2 linked regions of the Rhinolophus ferrumequinum genome follow. The protein of the gene in region 2 interacts with the protein of the main gene of each other region in a biochemical or structural test. Links are inferred from orthologs where the notes say so. Each region holds a gene or a part of one and is shown on either strand. Other genes may lie near its edges. The genes, in order: CTNND2 and PDZD2.

The links.
Region 1: the proteins of PDZD2 (region 2) and CTNND2 form a complex in vitro, tested with the Homo sapiens proteins (2 studies listed by BioGRID and IntAct, with this or other methods). The link is inferred for Rhinolophus ferrumequinum from reciprocal best matches to the Homo sapiens genes PDZD2 and CTNND2.

Annotation. Positions count from the first base shown.
Region 1 is NC_046290.1:7,809,951-7,822,427, forward strand, and holds the start of CTNND2 (catenin delta-2), read right to left. Parts: upstream 4,679-12,477; 5' UTR 4,446-4,678; coding exon 4,409-4,445; intron 1-4,408. UniProt on the Homo sapiens protein: Has a critical role in neuronal development, particularly in the formation and/or maintenance of dendritic spines and synapses. Involved in the regulation of Wnt signaling.
Region 2 is NC_046290.1:20,810,051-20,822,482, reverse strand, and holds the start of PDZD2 (PDZ domain-containing protein 2), read right to left. Parts: upstream 4,871-12,432; 5' UTR 4,608-4,870; intron 1-4,607.

The sequences.
Region 1 (12,477 bases), about 13 Mb from region 2:
CATTTTTTTTCATCCTCTGTGTGTATGTATGTGTGTGTGTGTGTGTGTGTGTGTATTCTCATATATTAATTTATTCATTGTAGGGCAAAAATCAACTTTTTCTCTAGAAATATATTTGTGATCTGAAATGACAATTGTGGGGACAGAGCCGGGAGTGCAGTTTCCAGGGCAGTTTCTCGCCCTCAAGTGGAAAGGTGCTGGCTCAGGTAGTAAATGGCCATCAACTGTGATTGGATGGCCATCAGCTGTGGCTAACTGGCCGTCAGCTGTAACCAGTGAGCCATTGGCCACTAATATAACTGCCGTGGCTACGCTAATAGCAAAATGGGGGCTAGCAAGAAGATGGTGGCTGAGCTAGCAAGAGCGGATTGCAGTTAGCAGGGCGGATTGCAGCTAGCAAGTGAGGTTGGGTGGCAGAGACAAGTGGACGGCAGCTTGCGGATAGTGTGGCTCCTGCTTCCTGTGTCTCCAACCCAGCCACCAGCGCCAGGGAGAATACAGTGGTCTGACTCCCCTATCAATGGCTCCGTGGGTGTTCCTTTTTGGCCTCACCATGTCCTGCGTTCTTATGTGGGGAGCAGGAGCTGAGACCCTGCATGAGTCCCTGAGTGACAACAACTAATGGAATAAGTTTCAATATACATAATTCCTTTTACAGATAACTTTTCAGGAGTCTCACCAAAGGATACAGGTGACTATTTGTCTAAGATGGAAAGCTTCTGGGAAGCATTGTTTCACTTATTTAGCCATTATTCCCAATTTGTCAAAAACTAATTGATACAGAGTATAACTTCAATATTCTAATACAGCTAAGACATTTCCTACAAATCAATTAACCATGATATGGAGCTTGAAATTACACTTAGCTGCTATGTGATCAAAAGATAAACAACTGGAGGTGTCATAACTGCACATTTTTGTTATGAGTCTTAACATTTTTCATGGACTAAAGGCACAGTATGATAAAATACTTCCGTGAGTTTCCTGTGTTGGAGGTACTGTTTCTGAATATAATTGGATTCATTAAACCCAACCAGGCAGTTTATTTAATCAGTAGTCTAGATTGGCAGACAATGTGATAGAAACTATTTATCTATGACATGTTTAATATTTTACATTAATATAAAAAGCTGTTGCTTTGGCATAAAATCAGATAAACTTGAAGCCAGCAACAAGTATCATGAACTATTCACACTCAAATTAATTTTTCACCCACATCCACATAACACTTATCACAAAGCCATCAAAGAACTGTGGCCCTGAGGACACCTCTGGAATATGGATAATGAAAACCATTATGGAAACCAACTGAGGAATTTGGAATTGAAAGTGTATTTCTGACTTGTAAATCAGCCAGCAAAGACCCATGGTACCAAATCTTCCACAGAAGAACTGAATTTTAAAATATCTGCCCGTTTTCTTTTGGTATTTGTCCACCCTCTGAATTGCGGTCCTCAAGTTTAAGTACTCTGAACTAGGTGGCATCTTTTCAAAATGAAAATCTTATTGAAACTTTTAGGAAAAGCGATACTAACCGAACATCGACAATTTCCCACTAAAGAAGTGAAAACAACATTCACACAGAGAAGCCACCATAAAGGGGTGTTCCTAGCTCCTGTTGATAATCATGAGAAAAAGAAAAAAGAACTTGAAGCAACAGTTCCTATTTTAGTTCAATTGTCTTGTTACAACCAGATATATTGGCCCATACAAAGTATACCAGACTTCATGGACAAATTACAACAAATTATTTCAAATGTAACTTTGATGTTTTCTTACATAAGGACAACCTGATGAAAACTCTGATGAGATTACTCTGGAGAACTTCACCAATTCCACATCAATGCACACCATATAAAAGAGAACTTTGGTAATAAGTAATAGGTTCCGTAACATTGTCAGGAAGAGCACTGCATATTCAATTATATGTCAAAAGTAATGTTGTATCTGAGAATTGTATAACTTCATTTTGAATTTTAAAGATCATTATGAAAGTGATACCATCCTTAGAAATTATTTAAGAAAACCATAAATTGCATTTTCCGACTAGTATCACTTGAATTTCATTTTCTCTCTCTGATGAACCATTTTACTGGGAGAAAGAATTGCCCTGTATTCTATTGTGAAAGATGTGAAATTGATGGAAATGCTGTAATTTGACAGTGCATGACTTTTATTACAATGAAAATATTAGTGATATCTAGAGTGATTAGGTTACACAACTAGGTAAACATACACCAAATTAAATGACCCCTTCCACAAGACTGACAATTTCATTAGAGCCACAACCTCATGTACTTATTAAAATTGCCATTCAATCAGGTGCTATCATTTTCAGTCCACAGCATGACATAAAATTCACATATACAGTACATGTAGTTTTTCCCGTGCCTCTCAGCTGCTCTCCACCTGCACTCATAGGCACAGAACAATATCTAGTAGCCCTTTCAGAATCATGTTTAAAACCGAAACAGCACACGCAAAAGGAAAAGTGGAAAGAGAAATGAACATCTACTTCACATGTTGCTTGTTTTCCAAAGAAATTTTACATTAAAACAACGCAATAAGCATGATAGTGGGTTCAAAGTGCTCTTGGAAAGTTCTCTGAATGAGAATAAGGTGAAACAAAAGCAATACAGGTAGAACTCATCCCACTCTTCAGTTAGCTGGAGCTGCAGAAACCCTCCTGGTCTTTCTGCAATGCTGAGACTTGTTAGCTGTATAATTACAGGCCCCCAAATTTCAACATCTGACTCCAAATGTCCTCTTCCTTCAAGCCCAGAGATCTGGAAACGCGCAGACCAATAAGGATGCCGCTGAACATTTTTCCCCAAAACAGTGCAAATGGATTCTGCATGTAGTAAAGCGGTTTTAAAGCAGTTTAAAGACTCTAGTTCAGATTTGAGGCTGCCCGCCCGTCTCTGTCATACTCCTCACAGACCGAGCCCCCAGAATCATGCGGTTTCATCCCTGTAATTTGATATGAGTCATATCAAAGACTTCATGGGATTTTATTAGAAGTGGTACATTTATTTATTAGAAGTGGTACAGCTCCAAGCCTTTCAATCTGGTAGGTGAATTACTAACAGCAAAAAGATGAACTGAACTCCCATGAGCAGCCTAAGCTACTGATGTGGGGGCACACGATGAGGTGACTCAGGGGGTTTCAGCACCTCCCTGTTTCAATGGAAGTCCTTGCAGAAAATTCCCAGCGTTTTAAATCTGTCACATAGTTGCTAAAAGTGAAAATCTATACCTGTCAGGCCAAATACCATGGTTACGATGTATCCCTTTTCTAAACCAACATATTCACTTGATGACATTAGGCATGCATGTTAACACCTTTCAGGGCCAAAGCACATCCGATCAATTCAACTGAAGCACACAAGGTGGGGGGAACCACCCTGGAACCACAACCTGCCCCCCTTTTTCTCTTTTTTTCCACACCCTTCACTGCCCTCACATTGACAGCGAACCACAACTTTAGGCGTTTTGGAAGTAACTGTTCTTTGTGGGACACACACACACACACACACACACACCTCAACAATCCCTAGGACTGTTTTCCTACCACACAGACCAGGAAGGCTGCACCACCTCTCTAACGACTTAATTCGGAACGTAGTGGCTCCAATCAGCTGAGTAGGAATCGATGGAAACACATTACACACCAGAAGAAGAGGAAGGTCGGCAAAAAAGCAAAGCAGCTTTCCTTTCGGCCATTAATTAGCGATCATCCGAACATCGCATCGCATCTCCCGTCCAGATTCACAGCTTTCCAAACCTGGAATTCAGGAGGCGCTTCCCAGAGCCTCGCAGTCTATTGTCAGGACGCAGAAGCCCCCGATACCTGTGAATTGAGCTGAAAATGCTTGCTCGGAAACCGCTAAATATAGACCAAAGGGGCTCAGGGTCTGGCAAGCAGCGGGAGCCTGAAGCAATGGCCATGGACGCATATGACTAAGTATTTCCATTTTGTTCTAGCCAAACATCGTAATGACATTGAACATAAGGGCAAAAGACTGGAGGGAAGTCCTCCCCACCCCCACCCCGTCTTCTCCTGTATATGAAGGGGCGTCATAAACGCAACGAGTATGTTCTTGAGGGTGGCGGGGAGCAGTATTGTTGGTGTTGCCCTATATACGCCTCCTCCGGGGGTGACGGGTGGCGGGGAGGGGGAGCACGCCGAGAAGCCACTTGGTAACCGCTCCAAGAAAGGTACTAACCCCGGCCCGCATTCGGTCAGACCGTCTTCCGAGAGGAGAGTGGGCGCGATCGCGGTCCTCCCCGGGCTGGCTGGACCTTGCAGCAGGCGCCGCCGCCAGCCGGCTGGCAGCCGAGGACCAACCCCCACCGGCGGCGAGGAGGAGGATGCGCCCGGCCCCGACAGCCAGCGCAGGCAACTTACCGAACGGCGCGGCGCCCGATTGCTTCCTCGCGAACATGCACCCGCCACCAGCGACAGCTCCTCGGTCCGGGAAAAGGCGTGCGCGCCGCCGCCCGGCTTCAGGGCAAGGTCCTGACCTTGCCCAAGTGCGGCATCTTCCGCTTTTGTTGTCTGAGCGCGGCCGCGGGACAAGTGATGCTGGCGGGGCGCAGGGGCGAGCGCCGCGGGGGAGAGGCGGCTCCCGACGCGAGAGCGCGGCGCCCGGCCCGGCGGCCCCTCCGATCGCGGCGAGCGCAGCGCCCCCTGCTCGGCTCCGCGGGCTCCGCGGACTCGGGGCTCCTCCGGGCTCCTCCCGGCTCCGCCGCCTCGCCCGCCGCTCCGCTCGGCCGCCTGCCGCCGCGGGCGCGAGCCTGGGGCCGCCGCGGCGCCCGGCGCCGAGCGCTCCCGAGCTGCGCCCCGCGCGCGGCCCGCGCCACCTGTGCCGCTGCCGAGGGCGAAGCTCCTCCCGCGGCGTGCGGCAGCCTCAGCCTCCACCTAAGCCTCGGCGGCCGGCTCGGGCGCCCGGCGAGTGAGGAAGCGTCCGCCCCGCCGCCCAAAGCTGCCCTGGGCGCCGAGCATGCCCAGTGCCGCCGCGAGAGCGCGGCGCCTCGCCGTGCGCATTCCACTTCTCCTGGTTTTCGCGGCAGCAGCAGCAGCAGCAGCAGCAGCAGCAGGAGAGAGGGGAGGAGGCTGCGGGTTGGGAGAGGGCCGAGCATCCTTGGGAACGCACACCCTGGCCCTGAGATGGGTGGATGCTCGGGAGCCAGGAGAGAGCTGGAAGAGACCGAGGAAGGCCTGGAACCCCGCGTTGAGCGGTTCTCAAAAGGCCGGTTCCCTCATTCACGTGCATGATGCAGACAGTTAATTGTGGTGGGGCAGCTGTCAGCCTGCAAACAAAGGGGCCAGGGCCGAGGGGGTTCTAGAATGGCTTCTGTGTGCGTCGGGGCCAAGGAGGGGGCAGGCTAACTGTGCATGCTGCTAGGGGGAGGTGGATGTTCTCGAGTCCTGTGGTTCTAGAGCAAAGAAGGTAGGGCATCCATCCGTGGGCTTCCCCACAGCGCACGTCCAATTTCACAGTCACCTCCAGTGCTTAGATCAAACATGTTTTTCGAGGATGGACAGACTTTCCCCTTAAGCAAATTCCCTCTGGTTTTGAATCTGGAATGGATGTAAATTTCCTGCAAGAAAGACCCTTGTCCGGTCTGGAACTGGAATACACTGCAATAATAAGTTCCCCTCCTCCTTGTTCTTCCTCTTTCTTTCTTCTTCTGCTCCTCTGCCACCACCTTCTCTTTCTCCTCCGCTTTCCCCTCTCCCAGGCTAAAATGGCAACTGTTACCTGTTCCTCCCCTGTAGCCGTCTTATCCAGCCTGCAGATTTTGTTTTTCTATCACCCCATGGTCTGACAGCTCATCGACTCCATCGGGACGACTCTATGCCTCTCTTGCTGTGAAATACAACGAGTAGAATCACTGTAGTGAACGGTGGATGTCTTGTTACAAAACAAGACCCATGCCATGAAACATTTCTGGGCCTTGATTCATATATGTACCTGTTTCGGAAGTCATGGTGGGGCTCACCCCTCCTGCATTTACAAGACATGGGCAGGCTGAGCGCGCCACCCCTCCCCAGAGCTGGTTTCTGAGACCCAGATAGGCGTGACAGAATCCGGGAAGTTATAATCACTGGGATTTGGGGGCTGAGAGTCAGCACTAAAGTGCTTCTCTTGTGTCAGAAAACATTATCCAACAAAGTCAAACGACTTGAGTATTTGTCCAGAGCTATTCTTTATTATACTTCGGAGTAAGTTAAAATAAACTTCGAAGAAAGAACAAAGGAGAAAAGTTTTAGGTTAGATGGGTAGAAATAAAAGCAAGGAACTGCGGGTTATGCAAGGACTTTGACAGCCGTGCAAATGCTCAGTCTTTTCTCCTCCCCCAGCCTAGCTCCAAGTTTGAAGCTGATTCCATATTGAGGAAGGACACTGCAGGACCATTTTTTTTTCCAGCACATGTTGAACTATACTTTTTATTTTAGTTGTCAGAAAAGCAGTTCAATTACTGTGGAGTACTTGGTACAAGACCAATTAGCAGCACTATATCCATTAGGCCACGTCACATTTTAAAGGATTGTCTCTGTTCCTACCTTAGCTGTGCTCAGATTGTTTTTTTACCTGTACTCCTCTTTGCATCTTTTAACTCAAGTCATGGGGACGTGGGGGTAGGGAGAGTTGAGGGGAGGTCAGTTACATTTTGGATTAAATTTTAAATAGGTACATAGATACTATCCACAGAAAATAAATACGTTTTATGCCTATATAGATCTACATTAAGAAATACTTTTCTAAAGTTTTCTTAGAGTTATTTTTGAGATGAGCAATGGCAAACCCTATTTTCTAATTGTAATCCTTGGAAATGCCCCATAGGCAGTCCCTACAGACTCCTTTAGAGGGTGGGTAAGGTGGGTATTTAAGGAAACCAGTGACGCGCTGGACTACTTTGATTTAATTTGCTGTGTGCCTGATTTCAGTGGGACATTTGTGATGCCTATTCTTCTAAAATAATTTGTAACTTAAGATACTATTATTAAATGCACAATTAGATAATATTGAAAAACACAGTTAAAAGACCATGTGTGGCATTAGCTCTTGGAACGACTCACTGCTGCCATCTTTTGCCTCCTGCTTCTGATAGTTTCTGTATAAGGAAATATTCTGAATTCCCCAGTTCACTAGGAGACCAGAAAAGTAATAGCTTGATATTTTCAAATTTCAGCAACACTAAATGAAGAAACTTTATAGTTTCTTCTGTTTATGTATCAATAGAGTTCTGAGATACAGAAAGCACATCTAACATACTGAGTCTTGTAGCTCTTGTGTTTTCAAATCACTTTTCAAAATCTGAAGCAAATACATTTTTACATGGAAGTTTTATTTAATTTTAGAAATAAATCCTAATAATTAAAAATATTTTCATAAATCCATGTATCATATTTTATAGTTCAAAATATGCCAATTTTAGGAGAGTGACACCCTGGTTTTACCTAATTTAAATATAGCACTGTATCTTACTCTTGAGGTTCAAATGGAAGATCATATTCATGTAATGTTTAAAGTGAATTACCCATTGATAAACAAATGGGAATTTCTCAAGTTGGGAAATTAAAATATATCAGTGGTTCTTGTTGCTGTCCTGCACTTAAACAAGGAAAGTAATCACACTCTTTTAAATTTTACATTTTAAATTTTAAATCAAAGTCTCTCAAATGGTAACTCAGTAGTGTCATAATAACTATAAATGTATATATTTGGGGAGGATTAAACACTGTTACTATTTATAAACTATATGCAGGTGTTACTGGAAAATGTTACTCTCTATTTAAAGACTTTTGAAATAGTAAAATAATTTGAATTAACCATTTTAGTTAAGATCAATGTGTGGGTCATTTCACTATTGGATTCAAAACTTCACACTTTCACACAAACTAGCTTTTACTGTAGCTGCTACTCAAATGATGGTATCGTTCATTTATTTATTCATTCATTCACCAACAAATGCTCATTGAGCTTCTTCTACTGTGGTTCAGACACCAGGCAAAATTTGGAAACTCAATAGTGAGCAATAGACAAGAAGACAAAAATCCCTATTCTCATAAGTAATTATAAGTAATTATAAGTTTAATTATAAACTGAGGTTCTTGGGTGATGGAACAAAAGGGAGTACACCGAAGAGGTCACCACACTCAGTTTCCCTCATTTCTTTCTAACCGTCTATGTGCTGTAGGATGCTGATGATTCTTTTATTTAAGCCCTTCCCTTCCACGTTTTCTTATTGTTTTTGCCTCTTCAAAGTCTTTTGGTGTATGCCAGGACATAGGGAGCATGGGGAAGAAATAGGACCGAAAGTGCTGAAGCAAAGCAAGGAGAGGGATACAGAAAGTGTGTTCGGTAATGGGTGAGGTTCTTGGAGATGCAGTGGAACCAGGAGTGGACTCAATGGAGGAATCAGAGAGTAGTGGGGTGTCTAGTGACGGCCCCCAGCATGAATCAAAAGTCACAATCTGATACTAAAACGTCTAACTTCCCTGTAGGCTGCTCAGGCATAGAGAAGTTGCGGCATCATTGATCAGAATCGGACAGTGGGTCAGAAGTCTCGGTCGCCAGGCGTTGACAAATTACATATACATATAAAGAAGACATCAAATAATGAAGTGGAAAGCTTGGCGCAGAATCTTAATAACTGGCATTGGCTGGAGGAGAAATAAACTCTATGCTCTGATTGATCAGCAGTGCTTATAGATTTAATGGGCTTCTAGAGATGAAGGAACTGATCCCCCAAATTGACTGGCTTGATGTCTACAGACAAGAATAGGAAGGAGCAACTGCATCAGATGAGATCCAAAGACTGAAATAAGAGAGTTTTCATCAAGGTTCATCCAGATTTTCTAGTTAAATTTTAAAGCAGAGTTGATTTAGTATAAAAATTTCATCAAGCAAATTTCAGTTTCTACACCAAACATCTAGGTCCATGGTTCTTAGGGGAAGCATTACTTCCTCCCCAAGAAGTATTTTAGAAATGTGGGAGAAGGTATTTTCTTATGGCCCCTAGGATTTACTGGCCACAAGCCACACGTTCGAAACATTGCGCAGTATATGGGACGATCCCACAGGAGGAATTACCTGTATCCTTCATGACTTTCCAGGGTTCCACCAATCCCATGGGTGTTGAGAACCTATTCACAAGTATTTAAGCACACAACATTACTCCATTTTACATATAAGCAAGAAGCATTTTTGCAGTTTTCATATACATTGAATTTTGCAGGAATGCCACTAAGATATAAACCACGTAAGGATTTAACATTGTTCAGAAATTGACCAAGGTTTTGCTCGTAAGATTAAGAGTAACATCACCAGTGATACACAACCCATCAAAAGAACACAAACCTGGGTCAGTCTGTTTTTATAGCCACAACCTTGGGGTGATGTGACGTATAGGGGAAAGTGTCTGAGAATTTGGTGAGATCATCTCGCCTCGTTGTGACCAAGTGTTTACAGAAAGAAAGACACACTATTTTAAGTGTCTCTCCTCTTATTTCTTCTTTATATTTATGTTGAGATATTGCATAGGTCCTTAAAAATAAGTTAATGTCTGTGAATTTCTTTCCAGGATAGCAAAGTGAGCATTTCATAGTATTTGTTGTAGAAATGGGGCCTTGGGTTCCAACAGGTTTGAGAATGAAATACCTACATTATTCATTAAAAAAATTAATAGCATCTATATTCATGTATATTGTAGCTCCAGGAAGGCAAGCTGTATTCACTAAAGAGTCTAAAAGACCCCACCACTGATCTTTTAGAACCAAGTAGTCTGTAAAAATAATAATTGATTTATCATATATGCAGGCCTCAAAATTGGCCTGCATGCATAGAAAGAATTTAAAAATCAATGTTGATTTTTCCTCAATCTTATAGCCTGAGATTTGGCTTCTTCCCCTAATCCTAAATACTTGTCCATATCACCATCTTATCCTGGTATCTTGCTTTAGAACTTTGATTTGGCCTTTTAGATTCACGTATTCTCTACTTTTTCAGTGCACTGTTCTGATGAAGCCAAAACATTCTATTTAAGCCCAAATCACTGCTGGCTGCCTCCCCATCTTCCTTTTGCACAGAACCCAAATTTTGTTCAGAGCAGCATGTGACCACCTATAAGACCACACTTCCCTGCCTCTCTTGCTGCTACATATTATCAGTCAGTAACACAAACATGAGAGTCTGATGAGTGTTCACAGTGCAGTTTGTGTGAAAGGGGAGCTCCCCATGCTGCTTATTCCTTTTTTTTATAGACTGAATGCAGACTACACGCTGGACTAGGACCTGCCGCATTGCAACTGTGATTGTCAATCAAATGAGAGCCATAGAACAAAGGTGTCTGAGCTTAAGATAGAAGAAGCTCAAGATTCTGAAATTTCCCTGGAACCACTGTGCCAGCTTGGGACTTCTGCTCCCTGAGCTTCTTCTTACGGGAGCAGTATTAACTTTTATGTGGTTAAGTCATAGTAGCTGGTTTCTGTTATGTGCAGCCAAATGTAATCTCTGATATATATGTTCTGTAATTTCTCTCCTCTGCTTTCTACAGCTGTGTCACTTGTCTTTCCTTTGCAATATGTTTTCTATGAATTATTATTATTTTTTTAATTCAATGAAGTGAGTACATGAATATGGCCTGAAATCACATATACTAGAAGATAACTCAGTGACATGAGATTTTTGTACTAACCAGGAAATGAAATCATGTTCAAAGTCTCACAGAATGAGTCCACCCTACATCCCTCTCTGATTTTTAAACTGTTTCCCAAAATGAAGAACTCATTTTTCCATTACTGGTCTCCCTCATGTTTTCTGCCCATTCCAGCGTTATTCTCAAGGTTGTAAACAGTGCCCAATCTGAAATCAATTTTCCCATTAAAATCCTCGAAGCTCCCATTTTATTACGTCTAAAATAAACAACATCTTGTCTCTTATATTGCTGTGAGAATTAAGTGAATGAATCAATTTATGGAAAACAAATGGTACAATGTCTGGCACACAGTGACCAACTAATAAATGATGGCTAATATTAGTGATGGCATTAAAATGCCCCTTTACTTCTGCTGGTTTAGCCCTGCTACCAAAGCACACTCACTTATCAGACTGCACGTATCTTATTGAATCATCAAAACTGAGGCAATGCCACCTTGTCCATGAATACTTTTCATATTCATTTTTTCCTAATAAACATTAACTGAATTTCTTCCATGTGCAGATAATGGTATCTTGCAGACTAATGAGGAAAGTTGACACTGATCTTCATTCTGTAAACTGGTTGTGTTTATTGCTTTCGCTGAATTTTTAGGAATTTAAAAATGTATAGCATCCAGACCAGAAAGTGTCTTCCTTATTTGTTACATTGCATGATGGTATACGTTATCTTTGTCTGCTTTAATTGGTCATTCCATACAATTTATCACTTTAGTTTAACTGTTATAATATTATCAAATAGTTCCCATATTCTCTAAGATTGGGTCTGTATGTGGAGAATATGTGCTAGTTAGATTTTATATTTCTTGCAGTCTGATTCATTTTATTTTATATAGATGTTTCATCCTTGAAGAATTGTCAGGAATAAGAACTTCTTGGTGAAAGTTCCAAATAATTGAACATTAGGTTTGTGTAACTATTTTGTTGAACGTTTGCTTTTGCATATTATTAAAGAAATTCTCATCACAAATAAATTAGAAAATTCAGAAAGTTATGGGAAAAATCATATTCTCATGACCCAGAACTAAAACATTTTGGTTTGTGATCCATAATGTGTATCTTCTCATTCAGTTAAAATTCTACTTCTGTAATTTTCCCATTCCATTAATGTTTATGACTACACATTCCTATTCTAAGGGTAGATCATTCTCAACATAGCCAATTTTCTGTTTATGCATTTTGGTTGTTATTACATGAGTTCTCCAATGATAGTAAAGCTTTAGTTAAGATTGTTTTCTCAAATTGTTTGAAATGATAAACACCTCAGTTGAAAAACAGACCAAACTTCTATTTCCAGGTAAGTTGAAATCACTTGGGGCAGCCCGATGTTTCTACTGAAATTAATTAGAATTCTTGAATAAAAAACAAAAATATTTTTTTGAAGTATTAGAATCTACTGAAGCACAAAAGGACCGGAGGAGCCAAAATCCTACACAGAGGAGAACGTGGAAGTTGAACTGAGGCCATAGATCTACCTTTTCCCTGGGAAACGGTGGCATTCTGGATGCAATGAAAAAGGCTGAATTTTGAGATTTTTCCCTTGGCAAAGGGCCCCTGTTTGAGACACAGGTGCCTGTAGAGGTTTTGCTGATCTCATAGGGCTTCAAATTAAAATCTGGTCAAGATCCCAGTGAGAAGGGAGAAACAGAACTGAGGTTGAAAATTGGATGGATTCCCCTTCAAAACTTTTACTAATTTCTGAAGCTTTACAGGACTAAAAAGTTAAGCAAAAAGTCTCTGAAAATCAGAA
Region 2 (12,432 bases):
AACATAATCTAGACGTAGACCACTCAGTTGGAAAATAAATCAAGAATAATTTGAGAACATATTTTTATACCTCTCTTTTGTTAAAAACAAAACAAAAAACAAAACATTCTACACATTTTCCCTCAAAATCATTTAATTTGGCCCACATCTATTGAGTGCTTACTAAATCAAGCTAAGTGCACCTTTTGCTCCTGTCTTCACTAATAGTTAAGAATATTTATTTAATCTCCCTAAGTTTAATCACAGACCCGTTAATAAAACCAATGGGATACACAGATTTTTAATTTTTCCTCACCCACCTGCATCTTGTATAATCGCCATAAAAAGACAACAGATCCCCAGATCAAGCAACTGTAGATTGCGCTTTTAGTTCCAGTTGTACTGGAATGAGTCAAGTTCTCTGCTTTTCTGGACCTCAGCTTCCTCAAGTGCAGGAATTAGCAAATGTGAATGCATCACACCCCTCCAAAGCACAGCGGAGAGGGGAAACTAGGCAGGATCTCTTAGCTGTGAGCCCTGACAACTTGACCTTTGAATAAGAGAGAGAAGTGAAATGCAGATGTATCCACTGAAACAAGCCAACAGATAAAAAGGCAGACATCCTGAAAGATTCCTTAAAGGGGAACAGGGAGGTGAGACTGCTCTGAGCAGTCCAGAGCTCTTCATCTAAAGCTGAAAGAAAGCTTCAGCCGTGTCCACTAAAAAGTCCTGCCTCTGGGCTCTCACTGCCTTTGGCAAGAGGCTTATTCATTTCTCAGCACACTATGAGAAGCACCCACTACGTACCAGACACTGTCATGAAGGGGTTTGCATACACACCTCAGCATCTCCTTTTTATTCCTCCTAAGGACAACTCTGTGAGGTAACTGTTATACCAATTTTGTATATGAGGAAACTGAGGCTCCAAAACTTTGAATGATCTGGCCAATAAGAAGTTTTCTGCACGGCTAGGATTGCAGCCCAAGTCTCTGACCCTAATTCTGGAATCCTTCCTTTTCCTCCTGGTTGCCTCAGCGGGAGCCAGGTGCCAGGTTCACCTCCCCAGGCTGGCAGCAGCATTTCCACCTTCCCCACAAAACCCCCAGCCTCATGCAGTGCCCTCCGAATCTCAGTGGGCACCCCTCCTGTTTACCAAGACCCATTCTTCCCTGCATTGCAGGCTCCCTCCAGCGCCTCACCCAACCTCTGCTTTCCTCCTATCTTCCAGCAAAGGCAGATGCCAGCTTTTCTTCTCCTGCACCTGTTGTGGCCTCTTCCCTCCCAAATTCTCCTTATCTTGTCTCTCCTACTTTTTCCACTTCTCTTTTGTTTACCACACATGCCTGGGAGGGGGATTTGAGGAACTCTCCTGAATAAACCTTCCTACAATGCTACCATCTCCTCCAACTGCTCTCTGATTATTTTTAATTGGCACGCTTCTGGATCCAGTGTCTACACCCCCCACTCGCACTGTCTTGGCACCACTCTCTCCTTCATCCCTTGTAACCGGCTTCCACGACCATCCTTTGCAGACAAGGCTCTCAGTTTCCGTCAGTGGCATTTTCCCATCATCCTCTTGGGAGGCTGGCCCTTCTCGGAAATGACTGCCAGCACCTGGTCACCTGTCTCCCCGCCTAGCATTCTCCTTGGTCCTGTGGATACACCTGAGGGCAGGAAACACTTGAGGGCAGAAGAGGTTAAAGTCTCTCAAGTCTTCACATCTGCCCTATTAAAGAGATTCAGCCTCTTTGAGTTTGGCCCTGACCTTTTGTTGATTTGTCTTCTTTGGAATGCTTCCCCATGTGGTTGGTGTAGTAAGAGGAACCTGGGGGCCTCTCCCAACAGAGACAACCCCCTTCCCACCATGGGCTGAGTCACTTAGGCCCACGTGATCCAGGCCAAGGGAGCACCCACAGCTCTGTGTTATCTTGTCCAGCCCACCAGGCCTGGAACTTCTAAGTCAGGGTTGGGACAACACCCTAGAGTACAATGAACCAGGAAGGTGGTGTGAGTGTGTGTGTGAGTGTGTGTGTGTTGGGGGACACAGCAGGAAAGAAGTTTGAGGAGGCACAAAGGATTTGGAATTTATCCCACAGGAGGTCCCTGGGGACCACTGATAGGTCTTACAAGGAGAAGCAGTCCTTAGACCTTGATGACTGATTAGATATGATTACACATGGGAGGAGTGAGAAGTCTGAGAGGCTTTCTCTAGGTTTCTCGTTTACTGAATGTTAAAACTCCAAGCTCCCTATTTCAGTTAACTGTGTCTTCACACGCCTAACCTGCAGGTGGTCTTTGTTTCTTCTTCACTCCAAATCCAAACAGTGCCCATACTTCAAGTTCATTCTTTTCTTCCTAGCCGACTGCCACCCACCAGCTCAGACCTCCATCCTCCAGTTTATTACAATAACCTTCTCAGTAGGCTCCTCAACTCTCATCTCTCCCAAATCCCAATTCTTTCTGCAAGAGATCAGATTAATCTCCCTAAAGCACATAGCTGATCGTGACAGTCCCTTGCTCAAAAATTTCAAATAGTTCCCTGCCATCTGCAGAACTAAGTTCCTCCAAGTTCTTAGCCTCTTCTCCCATCACCCACCCAAGGGCCACATCCCACCTTAGGATCACCTTGCAGCACGCACCTGTCCTACCAAGGTTCTCCTTCACAAGCCTTTCCTATCCCCTCGTTCCAAAATGATTCTTTCTCCCGCTACTCCTAAAATGTTTTATTGGGACTATCTTTAGTCGCTTTATTCACTCATTCATCCTTCATTCCTTTGATCACCCCTTCATTCCTTCATCCACTGAACATAGGGTGCTTATTAGGCACACAGGCACTGGTTTTGATCGGAGTTCTCAGTATACTTACCTCCCCTCTCCTAATAGTTGAAACTCTGACAGCAGGCAGGGAGCCTCCAGTATCTATGTGTGTCCCCAGGAACCTCTAAGGCCCTGTGCACAGCCAACTACAGGTACTCCAAAAATAAATTGGTTGAAATGAATAAAGAAATTATCATAAGTTTCCTTAAATAGTAAACTGCCTTAAGTGCATGCAAACTCAATTTCAATGATAGAGATTTAAAGTATAATTCAGTATTTTCCCTGGAGCATATTAACTATGACAAGGCAGGTGCATCCGATACACTTCACAAGGTTCTGACTCTCCCTCTTCCAGCACCTGCCCTCACTTACTACCTCTTCCCCTTACTCCTACATCTCCCCCTCTCCCTCCATCATACACACACTCACACCACCGTGTTGTTATGGGTGGAGCAGCAGTTCTTGGCTCATTCTAATGGAAGAAGGAATTGATGAAGCTAGAACAACCACCTACAGCCAAAAGTGTGTTCTGAGACATTCTACGTGTTCTGGCCCCACACTTCCGTACCTGTACCAACTTGACTCCCCACCCAAAATCATAGACCAGAAAAGCTGGCCCTGTAGAAACACCAGGGCCCTAGAGCCCAAGTCCAAGGCAGACTGAGTGTGGGAAACCCCACTGAGGAAGGACCAGCAGCACTGAAAGTCCAGGGGGGCTCTTTGTAAAGGAAGATCCAGAGTACCACTTTCGCAGCCATTCAGTGACTACCTGCAGCAGCTCCATCATTATCCCTCAAGGCACCCTACCTCTGTGGGAGGCAAGCGGTCGGCCAGCTGCAAGAGACAGATGCCAGTCGTTCCTGCCCCCAACACCCCACCTCCAGTCCCAGTGCAGGTCTGCAGTTCTGGAATGCCCTCGTGCCTGCCATTCCAGTCAGTCTCTGAGACCAGTCCCTGCCAGACCTTGTCCTCTTCACACTCCAGTGTCCCCTTATCAAGGTCTCTGCACAGATCAGGACTGCTGCTGAGGACAGACTTCTGGAAAACTCCAGCCACGGGCCCCGGACCCTCCCCTTACTTAATTCAGCATTGTGAGAAGACAAGCAGCCCAAAGACCTAAAATGTCAATGCAAACCAGGGAGGGAGAGCGGAGAGGGCGGGGAAGAGAGACGGAGGGGAGGGGAGGGGAGGAGAAGAGAGGAGAGGAGAGAAAGCGAGCCACGTTTTGGGAGGAACTCCACTTAAGAGGGAGAGCAAGATTTCCCCATCGGCACGTTCTCCATCTCCCTGGCAGATGCCAGTAGCCGCCCCCAAAGATGCCCTTGCTCTTTTCGTGCCCCCTCCACTCCCTTGCCCGGCACGTCTCTTCTCCAGGCAGGGGAGGGCGAGGGATGAGGAAGCGCGGGAGATGGATCCCAAGGCAGTACCTGAAGACGGCGCACCTGAGTGCCTCCGCCCTGGAGGAGAAGACAAGGCGATGGCCCAGGGATGGGGAGCCGGGGCGCAGGGGCTCCTGGCCCTATCCTAAGTGTGCCCTGCAGTGCGTCTCGGTTTGTCCCGGTGTCTCGGACCGGCTCTGCCCGGCCCTCGTCCCGCGGCCGCGTCCTCCCCGCCCCCGGCAGGATACGAGGGGAGTTTGCGCCGCGAAACGTGGGACACAGCTTCGGCACCCCCAATCACCGCGTTGTCGCGGCTGGGATTCCCGCACCCGGATTTGTCAGTAAACTTTCCCCGGCGCACGCGGTCTCGGAGGTCCCACCCCACCCCCATCCGAATCCCCACATCCTGGCTGCAGCCGACGATCGTTTCACCTGCGCGCGGCTGGTCGGAGGCTCCTGCTGCTTCGTGCGCGTTCGGACCCAGGCGCCGCCCGGCGAGACCCGGCGCCGCTGCTGCTGCCGCCGGTGCCGCCGCCGCGCCTGCTCGGAGCTGCAGCGCAGTGGTGCTCCCGCAGCCGCAGGAGGCGCAATCCCGGGTGCCCGAGCCCAGCGAGCCCCCGCAGTCGCCACCACACCGCGTCTCCCTGCCCGGGCCCGGGACGCACCGACGCTGGGAGTCCGCTCCTGGATCGGCTCTCCCAGCTGTGCTGTGCTGAGGATCCTCGGAGCCTCCAGGATGGGCGGGGATTCCCTCCCACTGGTAGATTCGAGGGGCGGGAACTCCCTTCCTGGAGTGACAGGGACAGGGGGCGGGGATTCCCCTGCAGGAATGACAAGGTGGGCGGGGATTCCCCCCCAGAACAAGGCACACCGCGCGGGCTGAGCGTCCCTCGGGATAAACCCCAAGTCCTAGTGCGCTGGCTTCATAAACCTTGGGAGTACCTTGGGAGGAAAGGATCCAGTGAAATGGCAGTTCAGAATTTCCAGATGGCGGAGTTTTGGGCGCCATCTAGATGGAGGAGAGCGAGCTAGGGGACTTGAAGTTGCCTTTGCAGTAGCACTTTACGAAGCATCGAGAAAAATGTCAATTGCTTTATAAGAATGGGGCGGAGGTCAAAGGAGATGGGGAAGGTCTAACCATCCACTCTAAGCCACTCTTGGCCTCTGGTCCTTGGGATACCAAAGTATGTTTAACACTGGTATGAGAATTTCGGGGTTCCCTCTTGGCACCTCAGAGCTGCTTAATCCCCCGGTTAAGGCCCTGGGAGAAATCTTCAGAGACCAAGTTTCCTGGCCCTAGGGTGGTGGTTTTGGTCCTTGTGAGAACTAGCCAAGAACCTCTGCTGGGTGGATTGTGATAACTAATGCCAATCGCCTTTGGCCTTGTTCCAGGTCAGTCAAGGAACAGAAACCTCAGGCTTTTCGGGTCCTTCATTCCCGTGGATTTTCAGGAAGGCCTTCAAATATTTTTGTTCTTTTTTCCTGTCATCCTTGTCATTCTGCCTACCACAGGGAGAGGATGATAAGAACATAATAGGAAGACTGCACAGCTCTGCAAATTAAGCTCTCTTAAGAGGAAAAAGCTGGTCTTTTTCAAGTGCTAGCAGATAAGAGTAAAAACATATGAAAAATTACAAAACCTGGGATAATGAATAGTTGAATAATGCTTTTGACATTTTCTGCAGAGCAATAATTGGAAATCTTTGCTTTGGGGGGATGGGGTGGGGCAAGGATCTGCTACAGCTTTGCCCAGCAAGGCAATAGCTCCGATCTCTTTCTTGGAAGAGCAGAGAGGCATAAATCACCTGCACAGACTCTGCAGAGCCGACCCACAGCATCAGAGGCCATGCTGGTCCCAAGGCATTTCGAGATGGCATTTTCAGCAGAGGTCGGGGTGGGAAAGTACATGAATTCAGCTGTCCTTCAGCTTTTATAATTACCGGGCCCATGGGATCAGTGTATGCACCAAGCATGTATTGCAAGCTGTGCCATCTCAGGCACCCAGAGCTTCTCTTCCTATCTGTAAATACCTACCATGCAGGATTGATGTAAGGATGAGCAGTAGCATAGTGACTCAGCACAGCACTCAGGAGGTACTCAATGAAATGGCACTTTTACCTAAAAAGGTATCACTGGGACACCACAAAAGATCCTTCTAGAATCAAACAGGACTAGTGGTTTCTGTTTTTTCACAGTCCCAGTCCCATCCTCCACCGCTCTCCCAAACACATGAGCCATGAAGAGCAGTGCAGGTCTCTTCAGCCTCTGTACCCAGCACCCACCTCCTTCAGCACACACTGAGAGTTTGCTGAATAAATGGATATGTGAATAAATTGATCACTCAAACCATAAAGCACTGCTATTTCTTACCCAACTCATCCTCAACCCTCTATTCCAGCGATGTACTCCTCCCCTGTAAATTCTGTTCCCTCTGCCAGCAGGGCATTCTCACCCTCCTGTGTCTGCTGAAATTCCAGAGTCCGATGTCACCTTTTCTGGGAAGATAGCTCTGATCACTGGCACCAACATCAGCTATCTTCTTTCCCATTAATTGTTACAACAGTAGCACTTTACACAAGTTGCTACCCCTTGTCAAGTTGTATTAGGTTGTAGGCATCAGTGCTCCCTCTCACACATTTCCAGCTTGTGAGCTCCTGGAGGTAATAGAACCTAGATATTATTATCTGTGTTCCCAAAACTTAACATGGTAACCCATTAGCCACTCAAGAAATATTTGCTGAATTAAAATGAATTGTTAAATATATAGATACATATATGTTATATATGTATAAATATTATATGTGTGTGTGTGTGTGTGTGTGTGTGTGTGTATGTACTGGGGGTGCCAAAATCATGTATACAAGTGGACACTTTGGTCAACGTTGCTCAAGCAGTAGTTCGCCATAATCAGAAGTGTCTGGACACTGATGGTAACCACTTTGAGCACCTCTTGTAATTGCAGAAGCCAAACGTAACTTGTATTCATCTTTTGTTATTGGCATATATTGGGTATTACAATTTTAACCGTTTTTTCCTTTCTTAAAATGTGTATACATATTTTTGGCACCCTCTGTATATTATTTTCTCTTCTGTCTTCTTTGGACATGGCTGTGCTTTAAAGTACTTCTAATTTCAATCACTTCTCATCTGATATTTTCCAGATAGTTTTTGGCAAGTTCTGGCCTGCTAATAATAGCTCACCTCTCAAGGGGTCAATCAAATGTATGGAAATTTTGTTTTGCCCTTGCAGTCTTGCCAATTTGGAAAGCTCACAACTAAGGGCATTCATGTTCCAGTGTTTGAAGATCAAAATGTAAATTCTTTCTGCCCCCTTGTTAAATATTTAGTCACAGGTTAGTACTTTTATCCAAGTTTCCATTTTAATTTATTGCTCATAAATACATGATATGGACAAAGATATTGGATATAGACAATTTAAGGCTTAGTTAGGGACAATAGAAGATTAAAATAATGAACTAAGAAAAAACATGTATTATCCTGGGTGACACTATGTCAGTGATGGATAAATGAATGCAGCATACTTATTATGTGAGCCTTGGACTCATGCACTGCTGTTTACCTGTGAGCTTTCCCCATCTATGGAGAAGAATCTATCCACAAGGCAGCTGGAACTAAATTGGAAGTTTCATGGCCAACTCAAATGAAATCTTAAAGATTGCTTTCCATCTTTTCTGTTCAGCTGCTCTTTCAAATATGTTGAGGGTGGGGGTCGGGTGTGGGTGGGGGAGACGCTTTAGTCAACAACTGGCTCAATTCCCTTTCTCCTCCCGGGATCTGTGCCTTCATTTAATCTCCAAAACAGATGCTGGCTTCCTGTTTATCCAGCTAATTACTCTCCTTTCTTTCTTCTGCGCATTCCTGGCCGCGAAAACTTCCATTCATGAACTCATATTGGAATGAGCCATCCCCTGGCCAAAGAAGGGCTTAAAAAGAACGAATAAGGAACAGTGACAGTAAAACATTAGTTTGGTGGATCCTAACCCCACACGTGTTTAAGGATCCCCAGGAGATTTGGAAATGCAGATTCCCTGGCCCTCCCCCTGGTGGGCATCAGAGCTAGTCTGTCTCTGGGCTCTGATACTGCATTTTTCACCAGCAATCCATTGATTGTGACTTGGGTGGCCCACAGAGCATATCTGTAGAAACACAGAAATAGAGTGACTTTTAAAATGAGAGGGAGCCCAGTTATATCACACTCTGGTATTTGGTGATAGTGGTGATAGATTTTATTTTAAACCTTGATGAAAATTTTGTAACATTTATTCTGTCTCAGACCAAATCTTTTTATTAGCTAATACATGTAATGGACTTACACTTAATATATCCTGTTTTAAAATACTTGCTTAGGGGAAAGGTTTAAGTACTTTTCATCTTATGTATATTGAAAATGATGATTTTTCAGTGTATCCATGAGCATGACATTGGAATTTATGCAAATGTGTTGTGTTGATGTCAGTGTTGTATAATATTACCACACATGCAGAACTTATGGTTTTCTCCTGGAGGTGGGGAGTTCCCCCATACAGAATATACAATCTCTCCTATTTTTCTAGGTGACTAAAACATTCATTATTTTATATCTTTGACTTAGCCTTCTTTTTATATTATGAAAGCATTGGTTTCCAGGCTAATTTTTTATATAATTTTTGCAAGAAAGAATGAATTATAACTAGCAAGTGCAGACCAAATATTGCTTACTTTCACAATTTATGTGATGATTCAATAATTCTGTCCGGTGCTGAATTACCTAACCTGCTTAAGATGCCAGAAAAAGGCTACTAAAGAAAGAAAGAGCGGTTCAGCTTTGATTAGCATAACCAGTACTTTGCAATCAGCATATCTAAAGGGAAGCTATTTTAGTTCCGAATGCACATAGGTGCTGTTTTATAGTTGGCCAGTCATTGTCCTTATTTTGAATTTACACAAGAGACAGGACATGAGGGTCTTCTTGGGGCTTAGAACTCTTATCACACTGGCAAAGTTGTCAAAGATATTTCCCCTCTAGAAGGTGGGAAGCTGGTGTCCTCCCCAATTCCCTGTTCCCACCTTGTTGCAATTCAGTCCAATCATCGTGCTTCTAAATTTGGAGACTATTTTGGTAAGAAACTTCCTAACTCCTCATTTTGTGCACAACACATTCTCATTCCTAACTCCTATCTCCCCTGCTGACTATTCTCCTTGTTCTGTTCTGCTCTGTTTACTTATGAAAAGGCATCGTTCTAAGTCAATCATGGGCTATTTTTACTCCTTCATCAGATACTTCTACTTCCAGATCTCTTCATTTAATAATCTCAAAAAAAGCAATTATAAAAATAAACCTATTGCTGGTCTATCTCTAGTGCTTTCTTTGTTTTATTTTTCTAACTTTACATCTTCACTCCTCGTCTCTTGCTAAGCTTAGCACCTGTCTTTATGGGTATAGCTAAAATGGACACAGAAATAAAACTCAGGTAATGATACCCAGCCTAAAAAAACAACAAAGAGCCAGCGCTGTGTTCTGTGGCCAATCACAGTTAACACAATAAAGGGTGGAGCAACCTCAGACAAGCTTCTCTAAAATGGGGATAATAACACCTGCCTCTAAAGGTCTCATTAGGACCTTGAGTCCCCGGTAAGATCACAGATGTGAAAGTACTTTGAAAAAATTTAAAAGTCTCTTCAAATGAAAGGAGAGGAACGCAATAGCTCTTTGAACAGTGATTTCAGGTTGTCATAGAATGTACATGAATAAGATGATTTACACTTCATCTCAGTGTACAGCAAGAATCACCAAGGGTGTTTGATAGGGAAATTGATAAATCATCATTAACAACTGATTTGCATGACGGTTGAATTTGTGGGCCAAACATCACAAGTGTATTTTTCATCTCTGTTGTGTTCAAGAACTAGAGTAGGTCAGTGAAGTCCACAGAAAGTAGAATCTGTGAAGAAATGACACGGTGGACATGAAAAGCCAGTTTGGTTCAAAACACATTTTCTTTTGGAAAATATGTAAAAACATCACATTTTTGTTTGGTATTAGCAAATGCTAGTAGCAACCTCCTTCTCTCTAATTGATCATTGGAGTGGATTCCTCGTAAGGCTGCTTCTTGAAAAAAATCCCCAAGGATCATGCTCTTTGTTAGCCTTTATTTAAGTTGTGGGGTTCTTCTCAGTTCTGGTTAATAGAACACTATTCAAGAATATTTAAATGCCCATTTTTTCTATTTCTTAATTTTTTTTTCCTGAATCCAGGGAAAGGAATCATCTTTTCTGCTTTATTGTGTACTTATCAACAAAGGAAATAACCGAAATTGTTTATAAATAATTTGCTTTTATAACTTAGACATTCAGACCACCTGAGAATGAAGGCCAACACAAGTTGACAAGATCTCAGAGTTCTAGAGCCAAAGGAGACTCCTTAGGAATCAATGTGCCCACTTGGTTAGGTGACTCCCCCAGAAGTGTTTCTGGAGGGGAGGCAGAATATACTTTGGAAAACAGTAGAGAAAGATCCTGTAGGATCAGCTGGCCTCTCTTTCTGCCCATAATTTTGGAAATGCTAATTCTATCTATTGCATAATACATAATGCCTGGTTTTCCCAATCAAGACGCTGTATCTCAGGACTATGGGCTCTGGGTTAGAAAGACTGACTTCAAAGACTAAGGGAATCTATGTTACCTTGTCATTGAAGGATGTGCACATATCTGTCTCACGCCAGAGTAGAAGAAATATTCAACGAAGGCAGCAGACTTATAAATTAATTCTGTATGATCAATCCCAAATGCTCCTAAAAGAATGATGTTTTTCTTATTAAAGTCTTTTGAGATGCGTAGCATCAGTCAGAATGTCGTGGGGCTTATCAATATTGTATCTCCAGCATGAATCTGCAAGACAGTGCTTTTAGAGATCAAAAAAGTTCACAGATTTGCCATATTGTAGAGCATTGTATAGCAGAGTTTCCCAAAGTTTGCTTCTCTCTGTGTGCATATGTTTTCTAACAAGTACGAACAATCTACTCCAAATCTGAATTTTTTTCCCCCTGAAACTGTTCATTGTAAGCCTTTCTCTAAAATCATCGCGAATGGTCCCCGAGATACCACTTCATATCAGAGTTTGCTGCTGGGCCAGAACCAAGGTGAGGTAAGAGAGGTGCCTAAGGTACAAAATGTCAAGTTTGGGCTCTTACTCGCAGGGCTGTGTGCTCATTCAGGGTTGAACCTAACCCTGAGAGTGAGGACCTTCCTAATTTTGTGCACTAAACACTACTCTTGCTTCATCCTAATCCTGGCCTTGGTTCTCTGACAGAACACACAGAATGCAGAGTATACTTGAAAAGTTTGCACACTGATACATCAGGAGGAAGTGTAGCAATACTGATTAATAGCACAACCGTTGAAGGCCAGTCTAGGCTTTGCCAGTGATCACAGGGGTGACCTGGGGCGAGCTGGGCTCGGACAACCACACCCCATGATGCACTCCCTGCTCTGACCCCCACCTCATGGATGACGACACACATACTTCTATGCACAACTGTCAATACTTCACAGACAATTAGCAGAGACAGGCCTGGCACTACTACATCCTCTTTCTATTTCTTACACCTCAACTGAATTCTGGTAGGCTTGTCTTCAGCAGCTTCTAAGAGACACTGGAGACGTAAGTGATAATACCATCTTCACTTTTCCATTGGTCTATCCTCACTGTAAGCCCTTTTGGTTATTTGCCATTTGCTGTGCTCTCAGACCCATAAGTTTCCACTCCAGTCAGTTTCTTCTTCCACACCACCCCACACGCCACCCGTGAACCAGCATCCCCATTTCCTCAACCTTTTCTCTAAACATTCCTTCCTTCTGACTGTCATCCTCCTCTGAAGACATAGCTCCCCTTGCACCTCTCTCAAGTGGAGTTCATTTGGTCACAACAAACATTAACTGACAACTCCAGGTCAGGAATGGTGTGCAGGTCGCCATGTTTTTATTTTATGGCCTATCATTTCCATCGCTTTCGTATCTAAACTGCCTTGTGCCTTGGTTGTACCTATCTGGAAAACTCTAATCCATGGTGAAACTGGCCCTTCCCCGAGCCAATATCTGTCAGTTGAGGCACTGATAGAAAAAAAAGAAAAACATACCTGGGTAAATGTTGAATTCCTGGTTGCCCATCTCAACTGGCTCTAAATGGTGTCCAGTTATTATTTCTCCAGTCAACCCACTCTCCTCCTCACAAAATAAGTATTTCAAACCTTTTCCACTA